Lonchura striata: one gene and its partners. The protein of the gene in region 2 interacts with the protein of the main gene of each other region in a pairwise test. Links are inferred from orthologs where the notes say so. Each region holds a gene or a part of one and is shown on either strand. Other genes may lie near its edges.

Region 1 (7,600 bases), on a different chromosome or scaffold from region 2:
AGTGCTGGTGTAACCCCAGAGCTGGTCAGGGGGCTCAGGGCTACCGGCCTCTGGGCAGCAGGAGCAGGGCAAGGAAGTCGGTGAGCCCTGGGTCACCCTGCTGCAGTGGGCACCCAGGACAGGTGGCACACCAGAGCCTGTCTGTCTCCACTTGCCCAAAGGGAGCACTGAGCTCCAGCAGAGTCCAGCCAATAGTACCTGGCAAAGACCAGGCGGGCCCAAGGAGCTCAGCATGGGAGGCGTGAGGCTGCGCCCCCATTTCTCCAGCTCAGCTTTGACCCCCAGGTCCTCTGCTGTGCCACTGCCCAGGTCACCGCAGCAAGTGACTTTTCAATGCCCACTGCTCTCGGGGGTCACAGGATGTCGTGGCATTTGTCTCACACACTCAGCCCCAGCTTTCACAGCCCCACTATCCCGTAACAGCAATTCGCCTGGCACTGCACGCCTTCAGCCTTGGGGTGAGTGAGGGTCTCCCCGGGTCTCTGTGGACCTTGCTGCTGCTCACCAGCCCTGGCTGGCCTCACTGCTGTCAGCGGACCGTGCCTGGCCCCCAGTCCCCTCACCTTCCGTAGCTCCCGGTGCCCATCACAGCTGCGGGGACAACCAAAAACGTGCCAGCTCAGGACACAGCCACCCTGGGGAACGGGCACCCTCGTTGCCTCCCCGCAGCCCCTGGATTTCTGCTCCACTCCTTTTGGGGAAGGGGAGGGCTGGCACGGAGCGCAGGACTCACCCTTGAAGACGAAGTTGTAGTCCTCCTCGGCGCTGCCCATGTCGCCCCGGCCGCCGCCTGCCCTCGCAGGGCCCCGGGTTTCCTCCGTGCCGCTGCCGAGCCCGAGCAGCCCGCGGGGCGGGCCGGGCTCCCGGGGCGCCGAGGGAGGAGACGGAGCCACCGAGGCTCCTCTGTGCCGGGGAGCGAGCGGGGCCGAGCGGCTCCGGGGAGCGGAGGGTCCGGGACAGCGGCGAGAGGCCGAGCAGGCGACAGCGCGGCGCCCAAGGGGTGGGACCGGGTGTCGCAGCGCAGGTTGGGCAGGTAGCGGCACCCCTGGGACCGTCACGGGGCGGCCGGAGGAGGAGCCAGGGCTGATCGGAGTGCGGGGCAGGCTGGGGCAGCGAGAGCAGCACCAGCAGGATGGGCAGCGCGGGCAGGGAGGGTGCCAGGGCACCGAGGGCACCGCGGGGTGGGACGGCAGCGAGGGCAGCCGTGCCAGGAGCAAACCCCCGCTCAGCCCGGCTCCCGCGGCTGTCGATGTTCCCTCGCCTCTGCTGCCATCGTGTGAAAGCCAGGGAAATAGGGATGGGAAGGAGCCCCCAGCACCCCCAGCTATCCCAGTGTAACAGCAGGGCTGGGTAGGGGCTCGGCTCTCTCGTAACCCCTCTCCTTTGACAACAGCCCCTTGCAACTTGTTGTTTTTCCCCAGGGCAATGGCACCTCCCAAACACTGCCCAGGCACCTCCAGCCCAGTCCGGTTGTGTTACCCCTCAGCTCCCCCAACAACAGACACAATGGACACAAGCATCAAACACACTTTTATTCCCGCCAGCTTCTGGATTCCTGCCACTGCATTCTTAAGACCCCACCAGAGCTCCAGGATGCCCATGGGGCCACTCACGCCCAACCCACGGCGGTGACGGTGACGGTGCTGGAGCCCCGTGGCACCTCAGAGCCCTCCACTGCCTGCTCACGATGCAGCCACCTGCGTGAGCGGCTCCTCCAGGTACTGCACCAGTGCCTGTGCCTGCAAGCAGAGAATGGCATGAGCCACGCTCAGGTGGGTTTTGCAACACGTGTGCCCACTGCCCACTTGCTTATTGTAATTTGTATTTCAGTTTAGGACCTTAAAAAGGTGTGATAGAGTGCCTGGGCAGGCACAGGGGACAGAGGAGTCTCTGCAAGGTCCAAAGAGAGTCCCAGACACAGCAGCTTCCTGAGCCCTTCCATCCCAATCCTCTTCAACAGCTCTTTCCCACACCAAGCAGGGATGCAGCCCTGCCTACACCCCAGCCATTACCTTGGCTTTCAGCATCCCAAATCCGACCGTCTCCTTGGCGTACATGCAGAGCAGCAGGTTTGCCACCCGTGTGATGGCCACTCGCCCCTCCTGCCCAGGGAGAAACAGCACCTGTGGCACCCCAGCTTGGCCTGGACCCCCAGCACGATCCTGGCACCACAGCCACGTCCCCAGGGAGGGCAGGCAGGCTCCAGCCCCACATACCATGCAGTCCATGAGGATGAATTTGAGGTTGTCCTCATTGAACGCCTGGTGCCCATTCTTGTCGTAGGCCACCCAGATGTTGCTGGCGATGGCTGCGGTGACCCTGGCATCAGTGTCCCCATAGCCCGAGTAGGCAAGCAAGGACCCCTCGTTGTTCAGCAGCCTGGGAAGGACACGGTAGGGCAAACCAGACCCTCTCAATACCAGGGGTAGAGCAAACCCCCCCCACCCAGTCCCAAGAACTGCTCCCACAATGCTCCCACTCTGCAGGGGTTTGGCAGGGAGTGGGGGGCTTCAAAGCCAGAAAGCTCTGCAGTGGCCCCAGGCCCGAGCAGGCCAGTGCAGGGCTGTGGTGTATCTGCCTGTTGAAGCAGCAGGACCTGCCACAGGCTGGGCATGAGGAGGACAAACACTGCACAGCCCCAGCCCTTGCACTGTGCATGAGGCATCCCAGCACCAGACATCAGGAACGGTGCAAGGCCCCAGCCCCACACACTGTGCACAGTGCCAGCACCATATGGAGCCCAGCACCGTGCAGGGTGTGTGGTTTCAATCCCACGTGTGCCCCTGGAAGGGCTCGGCCCCTTTGCCTTCCCCAGGCAGGGACAGGGAACATCCCCAGGCAGGGGCAAAGGCAAGGAGCATCCCCGGGCAGGGACAAGGGCAAGGAGCATCCCCAGGCAGGGGCAAAGGCAAGGAGCATCCCTGGGCAGGGGCAGGGGCAAGGAGCATCCCTGGGCAGGGGCAAGGAGCATCCTCAGGCAGGGGCAAAGGCAAGAAGCATCCCTGAGCAGAGGCAGGAGCAGGGGCAAGGAGCATCCTCAGGCAGCAGCAAGGGCAAGGAGCATCCCTGGGCAGGGACAAGAGCAGGGGCAAGGAGCATCCCCAGGCAGGGGCAAGGGCAAGGAGCATCCCCAGGCAGGGGCAAAGGCAAGGAGCATCCCCGGGCAGGGACAAGGGCAAGGAGCATCCCTGGGCTGGGGCAAGGAGCATCCTCAGGCAGGGGCAAAGGCAAGAAGCATCCCTGAGCAGAGGCAGGAGCAGGGGCAAGGAGCATCCCCAGGCAGGGGCAAAGGCAAGGAGCATCCCTGGGCAGGGGCAGGAGCAGGGATAAGAGCAGGGGCTGGGGAAAGGCAGGCAGCATCCTTGGGCTGGAGCAGCATTCCCAGGGCAGGAGCAGGGAGCATCCCCCGCTGCAGGGACAGGGGCAGGCAGCACCTCCGGGCAGGGGCAGCATCCCCGGGGGCACGGACAGCGGCAGCACCTGCCGGGCTGGGTACGAGGGAAGCATTCCGGGCGGGGAAAGCACGTCCCCGCAGCGCCGTCACCCCGGTGCCCGCCGGGCCCACTCGGGGAGAGCCGCCCCCCGCCCGGCCCCCCGCACTCACAGCGTGCTCTGGACGCCGCCGGTGTTGGCCTGGCTCAGCACCTGCGTCAGGGCCTTGGGCCGCAGCATGGCCGCCGCCGGCACCGCGGGCCGCGGGTGGGGCCGCGCCGGGCGGGGCCGTCACGGGCCGCGCCGCGCGCGGCACGCCGGGAGCTGTAGTCCCGCCCGGGCCTGCCGTGTCCCCGTAGGCGCCGGGGCTCCAGAGGGGCCGCGGCAGCAGGAGGGAGCACGGGGCGGGCGTGGCCCTCGGTGCCCGTGGGGATCGGGGATGGAGCCGGTGGAAGGGGGCAGCGGCGGGGCCCTGCGGGCAGCTCCCCCTCCGCAGGCTCAGCCCCGCTTTCAGCCCGCGCCCCGCTCCGGCCGCCCGGCCCGCGCTGCCGCCGTTCCTCCGCGCCGCCGGGAGGCGCCGTCCCGGCCGAGGCGGCGCTGCGGCGCCGCTCCCGGCTCTCTGTGGTGGCGGCGGCCCGGGCTGGCGGCGGGCGGCGAAGATGGCGGAGCCGAGTGGCGGCGGCGGCGGCGGCCCCGGGCCCGGGCCGGGCGGGGACGGCCAGCCAGGGCCCGGCGGGGCGCTCATCCGCGTGACCGTGAAGACCCCCAAGGACAAGGAGGAGATCGTCATCGCGGACGGCGCCTCCGTGCGCGAGGTGGGGGCGGGTCAGGCCGGGAGGCCCGGGGGGCCGGGGCGGGGGCTGACGGGCGGGGGCGGCCGCTCTGGGGGGCTGGGGGACCCAGGAGTGCGGCGAAGGGCTTTTGGGAAGGGAGCCGAGTTTTGGGGCCCGGCAGGAATTTGGGGCGCGCGTGAGGAGCGGGGGAAGGTGCTCGGGGCTGGGGGGCGCTCAGAGGGGCTGGGGGGCTCTTGGAGACCCGGATCTGGGCTGGGGCTGGGCTCGGGGGCAAGCCGGGCTTTCCGCGGCACCCCGGGCCTTTGGGCCTCAGATCGGAGGGAGGACAGGTGCTGGAGGCCTTTGGAGGGGAAACAGCCCCGAGGGCGGCAGGTGTCGGGGGGGCTCACCTGTGGCAGGGGTCGTAGGTGTCGGAAACACAGGAGTTGGGGGCTCGGAGGGCGGCTTTGGGGGTGGTGGCAGTGGGAGGGGTGTGAAGGACCGGGGTGGGGTCTGGGGGCTCGGCCCGTGGGCCGGGCTGCGTGGGAGAGTTTCCTGAGCGGAGGTGTGGGGAAGGTGGTGGGACTGTGGGCAGAGCCGCAGGGGTGCGCGGGGGGCTGCCAGGGGGACACCTGGGGGTCCTGGCGTACCTCGGGATTTCTCTGGAGGCAGATGCCCCTGGCCAGGGGAGAGGAACTGGGCAGATGTTTGGGGCCAGCTTTGGATGAGGTGGAGGGAAGGAAACATCGGCCCTTCCACGGGTGGGCTGGGGGGGCTCTGCACCTGCTAGGGAGCGGGAGAGGGCTGGGATTGCCAAGAGCTGCGCTTAGCGAAGGCTGGGATTGGCAGGGACGCGCTCTAGGGCTGGTCCTGGCATCGAGGAAGTGGCGATGCCCACTGGGACAAGGTGTCATGGGCGCTGCGTTGGGCTGGCTGTGTGCTTTGGTCGGGCGTAGGGCACGAGGTCAGCGTGTGAAGGGCCTGGCAGGGATCTCTGGGCAGCAGTTCATGGCGTGGGCATGCACGTGTGGCCCTCCTGATCCTTTCCCTGGGGGGAGCCCCTCGGACAGGAGGTGTGGAGTGAGGGCTTTGTGCAGGGGGGCCACGGAGCTGTGTGGGGAGAGACACAGACAGGGTGATCTGGGGCCAGGGCTGAGCTGTGCCCAGCCTTGATTTTAGAGTTCGGGTAAACTGAAGCTCTCTCCAGGCTGAGAGCTCTGAAACCACCATGTGTTTCACTCTCCATGCTGGCCTTCCCCTTTGAATTCCCTTTAGTTTGTGTTTCCCAAGTGCAAGGCTTTATTTCCTCCAAATCAATCTGGGGATGCCCCGGCAGGGCCAGCAGTGAGAGTCTTGCTTGCAGGTGTAAATCCCAGCACAGCACACAGTAAGGAATAGGTGTCTATGCTCCGTGGCATGCTCACAGGGAATTCAGTTGCAGAAATAGGAATTGGAGAAGACCTAGTTTATTTCCATTGGCTGATAAAGGATTATTCCCTTTTCCATAGAGCACTGTCCTGTATTAAATCGGAGTTTGGCTTTCCTTAGGAAAAAAAAATCAAATGAACAGATGAAACCAGTTCAGTCGTTCAGCATAAATGGTGTGTTTGGGTTAGGCCTGAAGCACAATTGGTCTGGCTTGGGAAGCCTTCAGCTCTTCTGAGGGAATGGCTCTGTTTTTTTCTGACATTTACTCCATAGTTTGTAATTTCAGAACTTGTCTTTGGTTTGGTTTTCATTAGCACTTCAGGCATCATCAGCAGCTGGTGACTGTGTGATACCTTCATGGGCTGTGAGGATTGTCAGTTCCTTGGGCTGTTCCCAGAATGGATTTATGTTACTGGTACCAGTCCTTTGCCTGAAAAATGCTGTTTGTTTTTCAGTTCAAAGAAGAGATTTCTAGACGGTTTAAAGCCAAACAGGATCAGCTGGTTCTGATCTTTGCTGGGAAGATCCTGAAGGATGGAGACACGTTGAATCAACATGGGATCAAAGATGGGCTCACTGTTCATTTGGTCATTAAGACTCCGCAGAAGTAAGAGCTTAGTCTTGGAGGGGCTGGTGTCAAATGGGGGCTGGGAATAACTGATTGTGATGATCCTGGTGAGCTTTCCCTGCCCCAGCCGTGGGGGTTTGTCACTAACCTGTCCGTGGATGACACAGCTGTGATGGTGTGTGGCAGGTACCTGGAGGGGCTGTCCTTTAACATTACTCATGTGTGTGTCTTGGAAGAGCCCATCAGAAATGTATACTGGTTCTAGCAAACCAGCAAAAGTTCTAGGAAAAGTTGCTGGTAAAAGAAATTACTTTCCCAGTGAGTTTGTGTTGCTGTAGAAGCCAATACCTGGGTTTTCTGTCACCTCCTGCTACATACTCAGCTCTGAGGCTGTGCTCAGGCTCCCCGGGGTGCCACAGGAGGCACACATGCCCTGGTGGGCCCTGCAGGCACGGCTGCACAGGCTGGTGCAGGCAGTGGATGCTGTGCAGCCACGGACATGGGGCAGTGTGGGGTCACCCTGTGCTGTGGTGCACCCGGGCAGTTCCCTGTGGGGATCTGGCTCAGGTGCACCACAGACCTCAGACTGGGAGCAGGACATGGGGCTGACCTCAGGCTCCTGCGGGTTTGGCTCTTCCCAGCACTTTCCAGAGAGGTGGTGGGCATGGAAGGATTTTGGGAACAGCTTCTGTGCTTTAGTTGCAGCCACATTTCAAGGCCCTTCACAGCCGTGCCTCAGGCTCTGGTCACAGCGTGCCCCAGCTCCCGGGGAGCTCCAGGGCTATGTCTCTGTGCAGTTCTGCTGTCCCCTGGGGGAGCTGCACTAATCAAAATAGGCTTTCCCCCCCTTCTTTTTATTCCACCTGTTCTTCTACAAACACAAGGAAGTGTGCTGTCAGGTTCTGCAGCCTCCTTGGATTCTGCCTCTCCAGGTAGCCTGATGCTGTTTCTGCTGTCTCCACTATAAATGTGGTATTGGTGACTGTTTCAAAAGGGGAATCACAGCTGTCCTGGGCTGCTCATTTTTCTCCTGATAATAGTCCTAGAAAAGTGCTTACTGAAGACATTACAGGCTCTTCCTGTGGGAGGAGGTTGAGAGAAACCAAGTGCCCTTTCTCTGGCTTCCTTCTTCCTTTCTTATTCAGCTTTCCATTTGCTTTCCCCACTCTTTGCCTCTCTCAGTGGCCACTGGTTTTCAGCAGCAGTCAGGTCTGTCTGGACAGTGGATAGGGGCCTTCAGGGTTGATTTTTCAAGTTCTAGAAGAGTGAAAAAGGAAAGGGAGAGAAAAGGAATAATTCTTGGTTTTGGAAAAAAAATCAAGGAATCATTGTTCTCACTGTCATAGGTATAATAGCATTATTGAGGTGAATAAAGTGAATTTTGTGGTCTAATTTAATG
Region 2 (7,844 bases):
CCCTAAATTTCAAAACTAGAATGAAATAAACATGTTTGTTTATGTAAAAAAAAAAAAAAAAAAGTGGTCATATACACAAAGCAATTTTTTTTTCATTATAGCTAAGGTATTTTATTTTTAATGCAGTAGACTTCAAATCCTGGATATGTAGAACTTCCACTCCCAGGAATGCCAGTACAAACAAAAGAAGAAAGTAGTGAGAGAAGCCAACATATGAAGAGCAGCCTTTTAAATGCTGGGGATCTGGAAAGGCCTGCTGTGTCGCATTATATTTGTGGATTTCAAACTGCAGCATGCAGATGTATGCACATGAATAATTTTGAGCAGAAGAGCTTTAATCCCCTTGTAGAAAATGGAGTCAGTCAAATGTGTAACGTTACGACATGTATTCATGGTTTGGTGACTGAAGCTTAAGATCAAGTTCTGGGCCTCTGGCTTTGTTTTCAAATATCTTAAGTTTTTAGCATATGTGCATGAAAGAATAACTCTCCTGGGTTCATGCTTTTGCTGTTGCCTTCCACATGCCTCTGGGAAATCTGACTTTTTATACTCTGGATTATTTTAATATTAGGGAGTAAGGTATGAATTATTATTTCTGAACTCCATGGATTTTTCTACTCCAATTATAAGATTGATAGTCTCTGTGATGATAGTGTGAGGGCTTGAAATGAAAGATAGAGTGAGAGGGTACACAGCTCAGAAGTAGTTGATTTCAATCCTCAATGCATTCACTAAATAATTCAGTATCACTAATGGAAATCTGATCTGAGCGCGGCAGTCGGGATGCAGGGCACTCAGTTGCCAGGGCTTGGCAGCTCAATAGTTCAGGAACAACAATGGAGCAAAAGGTGAAAAAACCTTTAAACTGTCGTGGAGTTCTCCTCTCTGCTTTCCTGGAATCATGTTACGTTTTCCTGGTGCTGCTGTTGCTGATGGCTGGGAAGGGCACGGAAAGAAATTAATATTTACAGTGGAGTTGAAACAAACAAGGCAAGCTCAGCTCCAGCTGACCTTCTAACCTACTCAGCAGTGGGACCAAAACCAGGGAAGCTCTTCTTGAGAGAAAACTGCATAAAGCCTTGTCCTCTGAGCTGCTCTCTGAACTTTAGAGTCAGAATTTTTAAGGCCATCTTTGGAAAAAAGTGAAAACTACTGTTAGAAGTTCTAAATATTTCCTTCAGGTGGGTTGTGAATTGATTACCTAAGAGTAACAAAAACCCCCAGCTTCAAAGAGAAAAGTTGGTGTTTATGTTTTTTTCAAAGGAAGAAAACCCACCTAATTCAAGGGAACTTATTATGATGTACTTTCTGCATTTTGGCAAAAACTATTCCTAAAATTAGGAGCTTCTTCCCCCAAAATTGTCATAATTTTTTACTGATTGAATTGAGAGTCTAATTAGGATCTAACATTTTGGATTGTTTATGAGAACATTTGCATGTGGCATCAATCAAAGGTCCTTTTACAGCCCGTTTTGGCCCGAAACTTCAGCTTTCCTTTTTAAGAGATATTTCAGATTTGCCTCACTCATTAGGTTGTGCATTTTTGCTCCAGGTAGTGAAGAGGATACGTGAAAACAGAAACTGGACTTCTACAGCTGCCAATCCATTCCTCACCACTGCTTTTTGATCAGAGTGGAACCAACAACTGTAAACAAATGTAAAGGATTTTAAAGATAAGTATCCCTGACAATCTGTGAGCAAAGTCTCTTTTCTTGGTTACCTTTGTGTTCAGAGTAGAAAAGCAATAGTTGAAAAGTATTTTTTTCAGTAGGGATTTTCCTATCAGTCACAAGAAATGTTGACTGGTCTGCAGTTCCAGAGATCATGCAGCAATTACATCATTGTCTGAGAAAAAAACTCAGGAGAGACAAAACAGCAGAGAAGATCTGGAGATAAGCTCCTCCAACCTTAATATCCTTTTATTAAGGAAAACATCCCTCTGAACTGTTCATAGCTCATCATCCATCCATCTCAATGTTCTCCATGCTATACTGCTGTTTCCCACTGGGAACCAGTGCTACAGGCACCTTTGATGGTGTGAATAACATAGTTTGTGACCTTTCTCTTGGCAAAAAAAGTTACATTTGTCCTCTCAAGACTACTGTATTCACTGTCTCATTGTCCTCTCTGTCTTAACAGGTTCTAGCTCAATGGTAAAAGTTCAGTCAAGAAATTCAAGTGTTATGCCTCATTAATATCAAACATATACAACACAGTGAGCAATTTGGGGCAAAGAATATTTTTCCTGTATGTGTACAGTGCTTATTGCAATGGAAACCTCAGTCAAGCCTCAAGGTGCCATTGAAACAAATAATACGAACATTAAAAAACATTTACCTTTTTGGCAATCAAAAACTGAGAAACTCTGTTTTTCAGTCATAGGGGCTTCGAACAATTATCTGTCCCTGAGAAGCTCTGCTAACCTTGTTAGCAGTTTTATTTTGGAGATTCTGAGTCAAATAACACACAAAACTATTACACAAAACTATTTTTTGTGCATGTAAACTCAGTTTCAGGAAAATAACATCTGAGCCATGAAAAACTAGGTATGGAGAAAATCTGGTATGGAGAAAATCTGGGAGCAAATGTGGTCTTGATATTGCTTCCAAATTTAGAGGTTAAAGGAGGCTTCTAACATCATGCACATCTTTGTGAAAAGCAGTTGCTTTCTGCAAAGTTTCCACTGTTTTATCAAAATGCTATGCTTGCAGTGTTTTGGCTAAGACTCAGATTTCTGTGAGGAAAGTAAGAAACCTCTTGGCCCATTCTGATGCAATCCGTTTTGGTTTCCATCAAGGTGAACTTAGAGCCATTTTTCTCTTTCCTACTTAGTTACTCAGGAAGGATTGATCATCTGAAATGTGCTATAGTGGTTGTATGGAGAATTTCTTGGGTCTGCAAAGTGTCAACCACTACCAGGTGCTTCTTGATGGAAAGTTTTTCTCTAGGTGCTTGTTGTGCTTAGCTCCGTGCTGCCAGGATTTCACTGAGAAGACCTCAGGAAGGTGCGAGCTGGCTAGCAAGCATTCATTCAGCCTTGCATGCTCTGAAACACAAATGCCATTGAATTCTCCTTTCCACTCATCCAGCTGCTAGAAAGGATATTCTTTCCACCTCAAGCCATCACTTTACACTGCAAACCAAAATTGTTGTTTTAAATTACATCACTGTCATTAAACCTGCTGGTGGTGCAAATCCTGCACAGCCGTGCCAGGACTGAACACATAACTGTGTGATGAAAAGAAGATGTCAAGGTGTGGATGGAAAGGGTTAGTTTACTTTACTAAGAAGGACTCCAGGTGAGTGCAATTGCCTGCTCTGGGACTGGCTGTACAGTGCTTTTCATTGTCACAGATGGTAGGTGTTAGATGATGCAATGTGTTCGGTGCCAGACAAATTACTTTTTTAGCTCATTCCTCTGGAAACAGGAGGGGAATCTGAACTGGATTTCTGTGCAAACCTGGAGCAGGAGCTGCAAGCTACAAACCCAGGTGAGACCTAAGCAGTGAATGGGCCCAGTCTTTCAAGTGAAGGCAGAGACTTGCTCTGGGGAGAGGGAATTACACAGAAACTGCCTGGAGTTTGGAACAAGTCCACGTAGTTTTAAATTAAGCTGTGGATTGGGGAACACTCTTATTCAGTGGATGTAATGAACCTGAAAGTTGGAAAAGCCTGCTACTAAATGAAAGCCCTGATACAACTGCAGCAACCGCTATGACCAAAAGTGTTGAAATGGCATGGCAAAAGTTGTTCTCACTGTGCTTTTAGGCCAAGTTGAAATTAAAATTGAAATTAAAAGCTGGGGGTGGGGGACTGGGGGGGGGGGGAAGAAGTGGTCCACTGTGGGTTTTTATTTATTTATTTATTTATTTATTTATTTATTTATTTATTTTCTTGCTTCCCACTCTCTAGCACTATTTCCAGCCTATCACTCCCGTGGTCAAAATGGCAAGCTGGAAGTCAGCGAGGCCGAAGTTAGAGCTCCTCAAACTCTGACAGCCAAAGGCAACCGGGGCAAAAACTGCGGTGGACGTTTGTACCTGCAAAAGCAGCTGAAGCCCCGCACCGGTCGGGCTGTAGGGCGAGCTGCCTCTCCCTGTCCCTGGGTGATGAAGAGGAGAGAAAGTTACCTGAGCTAACAAGCCCGGTCGGGATCCTGGGGCGCTCCGCACTGCAGCAGCTCCCCACCGGGCTCTCCGCGGCGCGCTCCTCCCGCGGGAGCTGCGGAGGAGCGGAGCGAGCCCAGCCCGGCTCGGCTCGGCCCAACCCAGCCCAGCCCGGCCCGGCCCAGCCCAGCCCGGCACAGCTCAGCCCAGCCCAGCCCGGCACAGCCCAGCCCAGCCCGGCACAGCCCAGCCCAGCCCGGCACAGCCCAGCCCAGCCCGCGGCGGGGGCGCGGCTGCCCCGCGGCTGACCCGCCCGCATCACACGAGGGGGCAGCGCGGCCGCTCGCTCTGCCCCGGCGCCCGCCTGCCTTCCCTCCTCTCGCCGCCTCGCCGCAGCCCGGGCTCCGCCGAGTCAAAGCGCGGATCAGGTTCCCTGCCTGCAGTATAAAAATCTCGGCCGGAAAGCTCCGGCGGGAGAGAGAGCAGAGCCGGGCGTGAGGAGCGCAGGGACGCGCGGCGGCACAGGCAGTCGCTGCTCACCGGGGACGGTCGCGGCTCGCCCCTTTCAGCTGCGGGAGAGGAGCTCTTTGCCGCCCCAAGTAAGTCCGAGGCAGCGGCGGGGACTCCCGGGTCTGCCCGAGGGATGGTACCTCCAGCGCTTGTTCCCCCGGGGCAGGGTGGGCAGCGCTTCCCTCGTCCCTGCCGCGGCTCCGGGACACTTGCCCCAGCAGGATGCCGCAGAGGCTGGCCGGCCAGAGGGGCCGTGGGGCTGGGTGGGAGCAGGGGTGCACCTGAGGGGGACACCTGAGCCCCCGGAGACACCTGGCCGAGGTGGTGGGTGAGGTCTGGGAGTGCCCGGGAGCAGACACGGGACCGCTTTGCCGGGTGGGGAGCGCTGCCGCGGTGCTTCGGTGCCTGGGAGCGTTCAAGTGCCAGCACGGGGTGAGAGGGACAGCGGCGGCCGTGGGTGACGGGATCCAGCGGGGAAGGGAGGCAGGAGTGTTCGGGCAGTTCCGTTTCGAGAGGACAAAGGGACAGCGGAGCGGCAAACCCCCTGCGGGTCCCAGTTACCCTGTGCCAGGAGCGTCCCGGCTGGAACTCGGGAGTTTAAATTGTACCTTCAGACCGAACACTTGGGCTTATATTTTTCTTGGGACTTTGCCTTCTTATCCCTAATTTACTCCTGCTGAAACAACTAAATCTAGCAAGTGCTGATAGATCTGTCTAAAACTGCCGTTGTTAGTTCGTGTCTTCCCCTTCCTCGGGACGGATAGGCTGGGGGAAAAACCTGAGTTAACAACGGTGAAAACACAGTTTCCTCTTTGTAGAACTTGTCTGCGATTCTGCAAATGTTTCATGGTCTCCAGCCTCGGTGCTTCTAACTCCTTACCTGCCTTTCTTCTCTTCTTTTTAAAAGTACAACTTTTCATAGGAGGAAGGTAATCTTCATTCTGCGGGAGCTTATCTGCTCCTTTTACATCTTCCGCTTGGCTGTCGCACCTCTCTTCCACGCTGCCAGTGGCTTTGCCTTGGTGGTGAATGACTACTGCACTTTAACTTAGTGGTACCCTCGGGAGCTGGCTATTAGGATGTACACCTGAGAGACTGGCGGGTTCTTGGGAGCACTGTGGAAATGTTTGTGACAGGAGTTAAATCTTTCTCTGTGACATAACCCTAGAGCTATGGATAGTGGTGTTCTAGCCAGATCCCATTTGCTTGCAATGACTTGTGTTATGGTAGAGGAACATTTTACCTGTGGGTCATCAGCTCTTGAGTTGATGTCCTTTCCTTGTTTTCCCTCTGGGCACTGATTTTTTTTAGCTTTTAGCAAAGCTCAACTTTTTGAACAAGAACTACATGATGTGTGTAACTGACTGTATTAGGGAGAAAAAGGGAAGGGATGGAGAGAAAAAGAGAAGGAAAGTAAAAGTTGTCACAAAGAAATACTTGGTGTGTCCTGAGCAGTGTTCTTGAGCCGATTATGAAACAAATTTAATGTTTATGTGTGTTTGTTTTGTTTTGTTCATTTCAATTTCCTCCCTGAAAAAGAATAAGAATTAAAAAAAAAAATAATTCTGAACTTTTATAACGAGAAATAGTTTAAAGTGAAAAAGGAACTGGTGTATTTGTGACAAAATTTGTTGCTTTGCTGTAGGAAAGAAAATTTGGAAGTGCATGGAGAAGGTACTTCATTGAAGTAAAAAAAAACCCCAAATTCCCATAACTGACCCCAAAAAGCAGCAAAACCAATTCCTGCTGCATAATTTAGCTACTTTTGCTAAAGAGAAGGAATGTGGAGATTTAATAAACTCTTGTCTCCAGGCTGAGCTAAACTCTTCAGTGATTTTTCATGTATGAAGGTTTGGGTGAAACTGAAGGACAGAAACTCACAGACTTTACTCCCGAGTCAGCTCTTGGGTGGGGAAAAAGAGAAGCCAGCAACAAACCTTTCTTTTACAAATGGTAAATATTCGTTTATAGTGTAGAAATGGTCTAAGAAAAACAGGTTTTTTGCAGTTATCCAGATGTCAATCCCCAGTTATTTGAGATGCAGTCTGTGGATGATGTATCCTTGCCAGCAGAAGGTTTGTCTCACTATAGGATTACAAAACATAGTGCTGCTATCCCAGTACCATATGCTTGACACTGGGGACACTTTGGAGGGTTATCTTATTCCTGACACAGCTGTACTGATGGATGTTTTGTGTAGATTAATCTTTCTGCCACAAATGTGAATATTATTACTTAGTGAACTTCCAGCAGTGGCTTCGGCAAGGTACTTTCTTGAAATGTCCTCTATTTCTTCTTGATGATTCTGGGAATGGTTGTTCCTGACTCCTTAGATAACAATTAAAAATAATTCTTTACAGGAGCTCTGAAAATGCATTCATTTAACTCATACTATTTTTTTTCCTGTGTGTGTTGGGTGGTGTTTTTTTTGTTTTTTTTTTTTTTTTTTTTTTTTTTTTTTTTTTTGTCAAGGAAAATACAATTTATCTAGTGTTATGGTATAACAAGTGTTTTAGTGTAAGACTAGGGCATTAGGGATGGAGCTGGCATGGCTCATTGCTTCTGCTCTGTTCAGGCCCCCTCATTACCTGCATTCCCAACTGTGGCATTTTCTGTGGGAATTGGTCTTTAACAATGTATGCTTTGCTTCGATATTTACAACCTCTTGCTGGTCAGTGTATCAAAAGCATTTTCATTTAGAGGATGCATTTCAGGACTTTAATTGAGGAAATCTCTTTGTTCCAGGGCTCCATAATAAACCATACAAAATGCTGTTTTTGAATGAACTAGGTCACTGTAACACGTGCACACATAGAGGGATTCTCATCTGCTCAGGGTAGCGACGCTCGCTTGAGCCATATCCCTGGTGAGCTTGTCCCTGATTTATCCTTCTTGGACTGGCTTGTTCACAGGGAGCTTATGCTGAAAATTCACTGCTGGAGGTCATTCTCCATTCTTGGCATCTCTGGCAGCCTTAAGCTTAAATTGCAGCCTCATTTTCTATCCAATCAATACCACTCTTATGTCGCTGAGTTTCCATGGTGCCCCCAATCTTCTGTCTACATATTGATGTCTGACAGCAGGAATAGCATTCTGTGTCGCTATATATACTTACTAAACCTGTCAAAACTATTTAGGGTCTGTCACACTAATTTATATCCATATCCTGATATTATTTGTATCTGTTGAGCTTTGACTGATGGAACTTGCTGCACTAAGGAATCGGCC
Region 3 (8,194 bases), on a different chromosome or scaffold from region 2:
CCCTTTGCAGCTGCTTGCTGTAGAAAAAAAAACTCGGTTAAGATCTTAAAAATCCACTACAAAGCATTTACATGTAATGTAACTCTAACATTCTATCAACATCCACATATATTCTTGCAGTATTTGCTTTAAAAGGTATTAATTTTACAGCATCAAATATCCTGTTTAACTGAAGTAAAAACTGTTTGTCTTATTTTAGTAGAAACACCACAGAGCCCATTTCAATTCACAATTTTTAGACTAATAAAATGTTTATCCCACAAAACAGAGGGCTTACCTCATAGCCAAGAACCATCTTTAAGGGAATATGTTTCTCCCCATAATGTTTTTCAACAAAAGGAAATTGAAAACCTCTGTCTAGAAGCCTCCTCTTTTGTTCCTGAGGTGAGGCTGTCAGTGGGGGCCTCCCTGTGGGCATCTGTGTGCCCTCATACTTTTTTTTCTTCTTGTTCTTCCGTGCGTAAATTTTGTATTTTCGGTGTGCGGCTGCTTTGAACTTCCTTCCCCTGAAGTGATAGGCAAAAATGGCCTTCAAATTGAGTTTTGACTTCTGCTGCTTGGAAACGTCTAATGAATTCCCTGGACTTTGGGGAGACCATGAAGAATCTGAGGAGCTTTCATTGTCAGCTACCTCTGTAACAGACTCATCTTGTTGCCTTGAAGATTGAGATCTCCTTTTCTGCTTTGAAGCAATGGAGCACTCAGGACGAGCAGCAGAGACATCACTGAAGAAGAAGAAAGTATTTACTTTCAAAAGAAGGTACAGTTTTATGACACATCACACAGGTTCTCCATGGGAAAAATTCTGAACTAGAGATAAAAACTCACATTTCTGAATCACTGCTGATCAGTAAAACCTCAGCTGAAGCTGCTGATGCTTCACACATGCTGTTAGGATGATCTGAAGACTCCCCAGGTGCAGCCACCTTCTGCCTTGACCGCTCTGTTCCTGTATTCCTTTGCCATGAGTACATCACAGATGGCTCCTGCGGCTGATGGCTGATCAGCTCTTGCACATCAGAGTAATCAGAGCCAGATGCCTGGGGTTCATCTGTATCAGTCATGTTTCACTTTGCCCCAAAAGGAAATGAGAATTGAAGAAACTAAAAAAAACTTACATTAATCAGGCAACAGACTTTACTCCACTCACAGTCACAGGATAAACTTACAAGAACAATCTGGAGCGGGTGCTTTCCTATGAACCATAACCAGTTATATTCTGCATACTAACATTTAACTCACACCCACTTATTCAAGACACTCATATCATAACTGAGGACAGAAAAAATTTTAGAGTCCTTTTAGTTCAGCTCTTGACCACAGGAAGGCAAGCATCAGTGGTCCAACAGATTGGACACCAGAGACTCACTGAGATTAATTCTGAATATTTTAACCCTCTCCCTACTAGGGTTAAGTTTTCCTCCAAACAAGCACACATACAAATAGCCAATGGATTCTCATACTTGTAAGGATAATGCAGTTTTAAGTTATACATAAATATTTAGTTCACTGTGGTTTAAAAACTTTAATCCAAGACTGTGTCACCATAAGAAGCAATGCCATTTTCCTTCTGTTCTTTTGTGAGCTGCAGGATACCTAAAATCTCCTGCTCTCAGAAATCTATTTATCTATTTGCTCACTGGTTCTCAATCATCATAGAGACCAGCTCCAGAACTAAAATGTTAATTTTCACTTGAATATTCAAGACAACACAGTCTAGCTCTTCAGTGCCCCAAGTCTATACAAAAGGGACTATAACATACAGCAAAGTTTTCCTCTGTATGTGCTTAGTTATTTTACCAGTTATTTACTAGCCCTGTAGACCTGCATCTTTTTAATTTTACTGTGCTTTTTAAGAGCTTCACAAACTCATCATCATACCCATTAATATTTCAAATGCAATTACACAGTTCAGCATCTGAAGACACTAGAGCAGAGCTCATCCAATGTCCTCACATAACCTGCAGCAAATGATCCTGAGGGTACATCAACCAAAGGATTAGGCCCAGTCAGCTTGAATTTACAAAAGGCAGATCCCAACTGACCCACCTGATGATCTTCTATGACCAGTGTATAAGGAAACACCGTGGTTGTTGTCTGTCTGCCTGCACTTTAGTAAAACTTTGGACACCATTTCTCATAGCATTCTCCTGGAGGAACTAGCTGCTCGTGCCTTGGATGGGTGCACTGTTCATTGCATGAAAAGCTGGATGGATGGCCGGGCCCCCAGAGTAGTGCTGAAGGGGGTTACATCCAGCTGGAAGCTGGTCGTAAGTGATGTTCCCCAAGGATCAGTGCTGGGGCCAGACCAGTTTAATTTCCACCGATGACCTCAAAAAGGGGATTAAGTGCACCCTCATTCAGTTTGCAAATGACACCAAGCTCGGTGGGAATACTGATCTGCTGGAGGGCAGGAAAGCTCTGCAGAGGTGTCTGCACAGGCTGGACTGATGCCAACTGAGTTGAGGTCCAACAAGGCAAAGTGCCAGATCCTCCACTTGGGTTACAGCAGCAAAGACCCTGGGGGTGCTAGCCAACAGGAGCTCAGTATGATCCAGGCTGTGCCCAGGTGGCCAAGGCCAGTGGCATCCTGGCCTGGATCAGCACTGGTGTGGCCAGCATGCCCAAGGCAGGGATTGTCCCGCTATACTCAGCACTGATGAGGCCACACCTCCAAATCCTGTGTTTCATTTCGGGCCCCTCAAGACAGGAGAAGGCACTCGCACGCTAGGTTCACGATGCCTTTGCAGGCACACTGCTCACACTGGCTCACCCTCGGCCTGGCAAACACAAAGCCCAGAAACAAAACCAGCCAAGGCCAGAAGCAGGACAACGCCCTCTGACCGCGCAGGCCCTGCCTAGTACTCACAAGGCGCAGCTCAGTATCCTTCCAGGCCTCTACCACAGCTCCGGCCACGCAGATCCCTTAGGGAAGAAAACAACCACCTAAACTGGCTGAAGAACCTGCCAAAGGCGCCAAGCACGCCGCTCGCCAGGCTCGGCTTTTCAAACGCCGGCACGCACCGATCACACGGGCCGGGGACACCCCGCCGGCAGCGCTCCCGCGGGGCCCCTCACCCACCGCCGCCACACGCCCCAGCCCCCGGGGCACGACTCCACAGCGCCCGGGCTGTCCCTCCATTCCCGGCTCCCTCGGTGCCGGCCCCCGCGGCGCGGATGGCGGCGGATCCGCCCGGCCGCGGCACCCACCTGGCCCGCCGCCGCCCCGCCGCAAAGAGAGAACAATGGCCGCCCGCGCCTTAAGTAGCGCCGGGAGCTCGCGAGAGGCGCGCGGGAAGGAGGCGGGGCGGAGGATGGCGCCATGCCGGCAGTGGCCGCGGGGCGGCCGCGCCCGGGGGCGGAGCCGAGCCGAGCCGAGCCGAGCCGAGCCGTATCGAATCAAGTCCTGTCTTGCCTTGCTGTGCCAGTCCCGGCGGCAGGGCAGGTACGTGCGGACGGGCGATAGCGGCGGTCGGTGCGCGGCAGAGCTCGGGCAGCTGCCGGGTTCCCTAGGCTTCCCGCCCGGCGAGAGGCTCCGGTTCCTGCTGCGCTGCTCGTCCTTCCCCGCGCTGCCCAGGCTCCTCCGAGCTGGCTGCTCCAGCCTCAGCAGCCCCTTCCTCCCCCTCGCAGCTATGCCGGCTTTAGCGCTCCCTCGCTCCAGGACTCTTCGCTGTCTTTGCCTGCTGGGGTGCTCCCAGTCCCTACGGACCCCAGCCTCGCCTAGCACACCTGTAAATACCTGCCGTGATTCCCCAGATCCCAGCCATTCGAACAGCTTCTGCTGCCGCGCAGCCTTCCCCTGCCCCGTACGGGATCTCCTCGCACCGCCCCAGGAGAGAAATACCGCTTCTGCCCCTATGGATGTCTTGGTGTCATCGCTACATTTCTCTCTCACAACTGCCGTCTTCATTTTTTTCCACTGATATTTCTTCCCCCACCACCTCCCTCCCCGATTCGTGTCTACCTGCCTGTAATCTCTCCTTTTTGGCTTTAAGTCTCCAAGCTAATTTCAGTTCAGGTTTTGACAATAGACTATCCACATATATAATCAATCTAATGGTTCACATTTCATCTGTATTCTCCTGGCACCTGGCTACTCTCTGTAATGTTTTCTTCCCACTTCAAAGGTAGACTTTTAAGTCTTTGCATACTTGTTGCCTCCATTCTAGTTGCACCATCCCACATCTATAACAATTTTATCATCCCTTTAGCATTTGTGTTCTTCCTTTGAAAGTCTTCTGTAGCGATTCAGTGTCACTGCAACCCTCTGTGACGGATCTTAATTGCATGCTGTTGTTTCGGGTTCTCTCTGTCCCCACACTACACAATTCACTCCCCTGTGAATATTTGCAGTGGTGGGCTACAGATCTACCCTTTTGTGTCTTTCCTGGTAAGAACAACTGCCTGCCAATCAGATTGGGTTTATTATGCTACATCAAATTTTTCCACAGTGTTTCCCTCCTTTCTTGATTGTGGGGAGCTAACTTATACTGGTATTGTACAAGTCTTGTCCCTGCCTTTTGTACAGCAGCAATTATAGCTTGCCTTCTCAGGCTGTTTTAGGACAACCAATGTGTTGAGCATTGGCACAGCCTCCTCCTGGATGTGGCAAAAGGTTCTTGAGGTGGTGAGGATTGTCTAAAACAATGCTCCCAAAGCCATGTTCTTACATTACTCCCTTTCTTGGTGCACACTAAAAGTCTTGTGGTATGATTCACTCCGCCTGACATGAGGCTTCTACCAGAGGCACCAAATCCAGCCTGCTACTTTCCAGAGCCAGAGGAGGGATGAAGTCAACTGTGGAGATAGATAGGACCAACTAAGATGAGAATTACTATACACAGGTTGCAGTCATTCTTCCCTTCTCTACTGCTTGCTATGCAGTAACTTGGAGTGGCTGAGCATTGGGCTTAAAGATTTCAGTTAAGTGACTGCTACGATCTCCCTACTCATCTTCTTTTTTCCACTGGTTTGGTGGTTTTTTTTCCCTTTATGCTAATGGTGTAAGGACAGTTACATTTTTTGATAGTCATAAAAGTTAGGATTTTTTAAAAACAGAAGCTAAATATATATGTAAGCAGCTGTCTTATACAATAGTCATTCCTAACAAAGACTCAGGTCTAGGAATGTAGTTAGGATTTTGGCTTTTTCCTTCTTCCACCTGAGATCTGGGTAAATAGGACCCATTTTATTTTTTATTGCTGTGTATAGCAAGTATGTGGTATGTGCCTAAGGAGTTAATGATTGCTGCAGCAGATTTTTAGGTAGTGTACAATCAGTTGTTTTTGCCCTGACCTAGTGGCTTGCCCTTCTAGCTGGCTTTGCTGTTGCATGGCTGACTGCAGTGCAGTTCATTTCTGAAGGGGCTCTTAAAGTCATGTTCAAAACTTTTTGTTATAGTACACACTGGGTTTTTAAGACACTTTTTGTATGGCTACAGAGTCTGATACTGCAGAATTTGCTGCTGTTGATTTCTATTTTGCTGCTAGCCTGTTCCTCTCTGGAAGGGGAAACACATGCCCAGAATCAATTGGAGACCATGTCACAGCTGCGGTTGAAAGTCCACCATCCAGTGCTGGAAAAGTAAACATTAAATTCAGGAAGACCTTAGGAGGCAGTTGATGTGCTCAGGAAAGCTCAGGTTTCTTTCAAAACTTTCTTGTGACTCCAGCCTTACAAAAAGACTCCCAAATCTCCTGACCACTTGAACTGCATTCAGCGTAGGATATGTTTTCTTTACACCCAGTTGTCAGCTTGAGGACTAGTGTGTGTAATGCTCTGAGCCAGCTATAGGGCTGACAGACACATCTTCTTCCAAAATGCATACGAAATTTAATGGTGCTATTGAAGATGTCAGTGTCTCCTATGATGGTAGAACTACAGTTCTATTTTTTCTATGTATTCTAGAGTGAAATTGAAAAATAATTAACATGTTGAAAGGAGCATGTTTAAATTGTTAAACTATTATCTTTGCTGGCAGACCACTTACTCTGCAGTGTGCTGTACTGTAACTTCTTACCTGAAGAAATCAGCACTGATCAGGAAATGGCCAAAGTCGAAAGGTTTGCTTTTCATGTCCCAAGTCTGGAGGAGCTTGCTGGGGGTAAGTAATGCAACACGTGACTTTATACATTACTTTATACACTACTTTGTAATGTACTCTTCAAACTTATCTTAAAACTCATACCAAAGTCTTTCTACAGCTAGGACATGCAGAATTCCTGCTTTTAGCACACCGAGAGGTAAAAAACAGCACTGTTTCTCTATATAATGAGATTATTTTCTTAGAGCAAACAATGAGTCCTCCCCAAGGGCCCAAGATAAATGCACAGGCTCAATTCCTTTAAAACTGCTGCATGTGCAGATTTGTGTGCAGGTCATGAAAGTTTGACCACTACACACCAAACTTCTTTACACATACAGAATTATCTGTCCTCCTCTATCCTCTAATATTTCTTTCTTTTTCAGGACTGCCCAAAACATAGCTGACAAGATGCATTGTAGTAGTATGGCAGATGACAAGATGCAGTGTAGTATGGCAGATCCTCTTGCTTGAACATAGTTGGCTCCTCCTTTTGTGATTGCCTTAGAACAGGGCTGCAGGAAACATCTTCTGTAGTTTACTTCTTTCCAAAGCCTTTGCAAGATCTACTCAGAATAACAGAATGGTTGAGGTTGGAAGGGACTTACAGGTTTGGCCCAGATGCTCATGAGCTTCTTTTCTTGCCCTAGGAGGAAGACATTATTCCAGCAGTCTCTCCCCTGCAGCAGATATACTGAAGTTTTTTTGTCTTTCAGATTGATCCTCAAGTTCAGTTTGCCACTTTCCCAGATCTGTGTCAGTTTGACATTTCCATGTGTTGAGAACGTGTGGTCCCAGCAGTGCCCTGGGTGGTTCTCAGTGCTTTTCTCATCCAGTCAGATGGGGGCAGTAGGCCAGGGCTGCTGTAGACCTCTAAGCTCTGCAGAGAACACCATGTACTTGCAGTAGAACAGCTTGAAAGAGTATCAGAAAAATTTCATCACAAAGCAGAATTTTCCCTTTTTTCCCCATCTGTCCTGAGGATCTCCTGTAAACTGGGAATTGTGTTGCTGGGAATTGTTCAGATTTGGGGTATAATTTGAAGAATGCCCTTTTACTGTCCTTGTCCACTTGCCAGAAGGTACCAAGATGTATTTAGAAATGTACCAAGTACTGGCTACTACTTTTGGTCAACAGCTTGGTAGATCTGATCTTGAGAGGTAAGGTATGGCTGAAACCCTAACTGGAGTAAACAAAGGCAGAGAAAGACTTCTGCATAGATAAGGAACCACCTGATTTGAGATCACACACTGAATGTCCTGTTCTTTATTTTGAGACACCTGTCAAAGCAGACCCCCCAGGCATGAAAGAACTTGGACCTTTCAACATAGTATTTGAAGCAGTGTATGTGAAGACAATCACACACTAAAGGTTTGAAAGTTGTTTCCAAGCGATGCACTCATCTAATCCTCCCTATTGTTTGAGTGACTTTGCAAGTTCTGAGCCTAAAAAAACATTGCTATGAAGCAAACCAAAAATTTTAGATTTGGTTCCTTATCACTAACACCATTCATTATCTGTCTTGCTGTGACAGTGGCAGCTGTCAGAAAATCTCCACAAGAGCATAAACACGATAGGCAGTATCCCATGGTGGTAGAAATTTCCAGGTTTCCAGCAGAGGCAGTTTGAGATTATAATCAAGTTATTGCAAACTGCCTGATTAATGTATGTAAAGAACTGATTGCTGTTTCAGCTACATCTTGCTTTCTCCTTTGCTCTTGAATCATATTTGACTGTGATTGTAATTGTCTGCTCTTTGAAGCAAACCCACTGCTGAATATGATTGAAGTTTTACCCATGTTACTTCACGCTGTGATGCTCCTAGTGCTAATTGGAGCAGTCAGTCAGTGTATTTCAATAAAAATGTCTTTTCAATTCTTAAAATTAATTAATGAGGCAAACAATTATCTGAACAAACTTTTGCTCCTCTCTGAAGCTCAGATTAACATAAAAAGTGCCTGCAGACATTTAAATCAATGGAATTACTTAGGGTAAGCATAAGTAATGTATCTTGCAGAAATAAAACCCAAACAGATATGTTTATTGTTGTTAGAAACTTGTCAGACTCTTGGTAATTTTTCACTCTTGATAATTTTGCCGTTATTCTTTATT

What was found.
Region 1: the proteins of PTN (region 2) and UBQLN4 interact in a two-hybrid assay, tested with the Homo sapiens proteins (2 studies listed by BioGRID and IntAct). The link is inferred for Lonchura striata from reciprocal best matches to the Homo sapiens genes PTN and UBQLN4.
Region 3: the proteins of PTN (region 2) and TAF1D interact in a two-hybrid assay, tested with the Homo sapiens proteins (2 studies listed by BioGRID and IntAct). The link is inferred for Lonchura striata from reciprocal best matches to the Homo sapiens genes PTN and TAF1D.

What each region holds. Positions count from the first base shown.
Region 1 is NC_134635.1:1,245,708-1,253,307, forward strand, and holds the start of UBQLN4 (ubiquilin-4), read left to right. Parts: upstream 1-4,090; 5' UTR 4,091-4,091; coding exon 4,092-4,247; intron 4,248-6,088; coding exon 6,089-6,240; intron 6,241-7,600. Other genes in the region: RAB25 (ras-related protein Rab-25), read right to left, coding at 734-773; ragulator complex protein LAMTOR2, read right to left, coding at 1,683-1,739, 2,013-2,102, 2,217-2,379, 3,605-3,672. UniProt on the Homo sapiens protein: Regulator of protein degradation that mediates the proteasomal targeting of misfolded, mislocalized or accumulated proteins.
Region 2 is NC_134607.1:16,259,930-16,267,773, forward strand, and holds the start of PTN (pleiotrophin), read left to right. Parts: upstream 1-4,420; 5' UTR 4,421-4,705; intron 4,706-7,844.
Region 3 is NC_134604.1:39,303,103-39,311,296, forward strand, and holds the start of TAF1D (TATA box-binding protein-associated factor RNA polymerase I subunit D), read right to left. Parts: upstream 3,276-8,194; 5' UTR 3,210-3,275; intron 2,926-3,209; exon of another isoform or gene 2,869-2,925; intron 1,077-2,868; 5' UTR 1,065-1,076; coding exon 829-1,064; intron 726-828; coding exon 278-725; intron 18-277; coding exon 1-17. Other genes in the region: BKGD (ester hydrolase C11orf54 homolog), read left to right, coding at 6,046-6,103. UniProt on the Homo sapiens protein: Component of the transcription factor SL1/TIF-IB complex, which is involved in the assembly of the PIC (preinitiation complex) during RNA polymerase I-dependent transcription.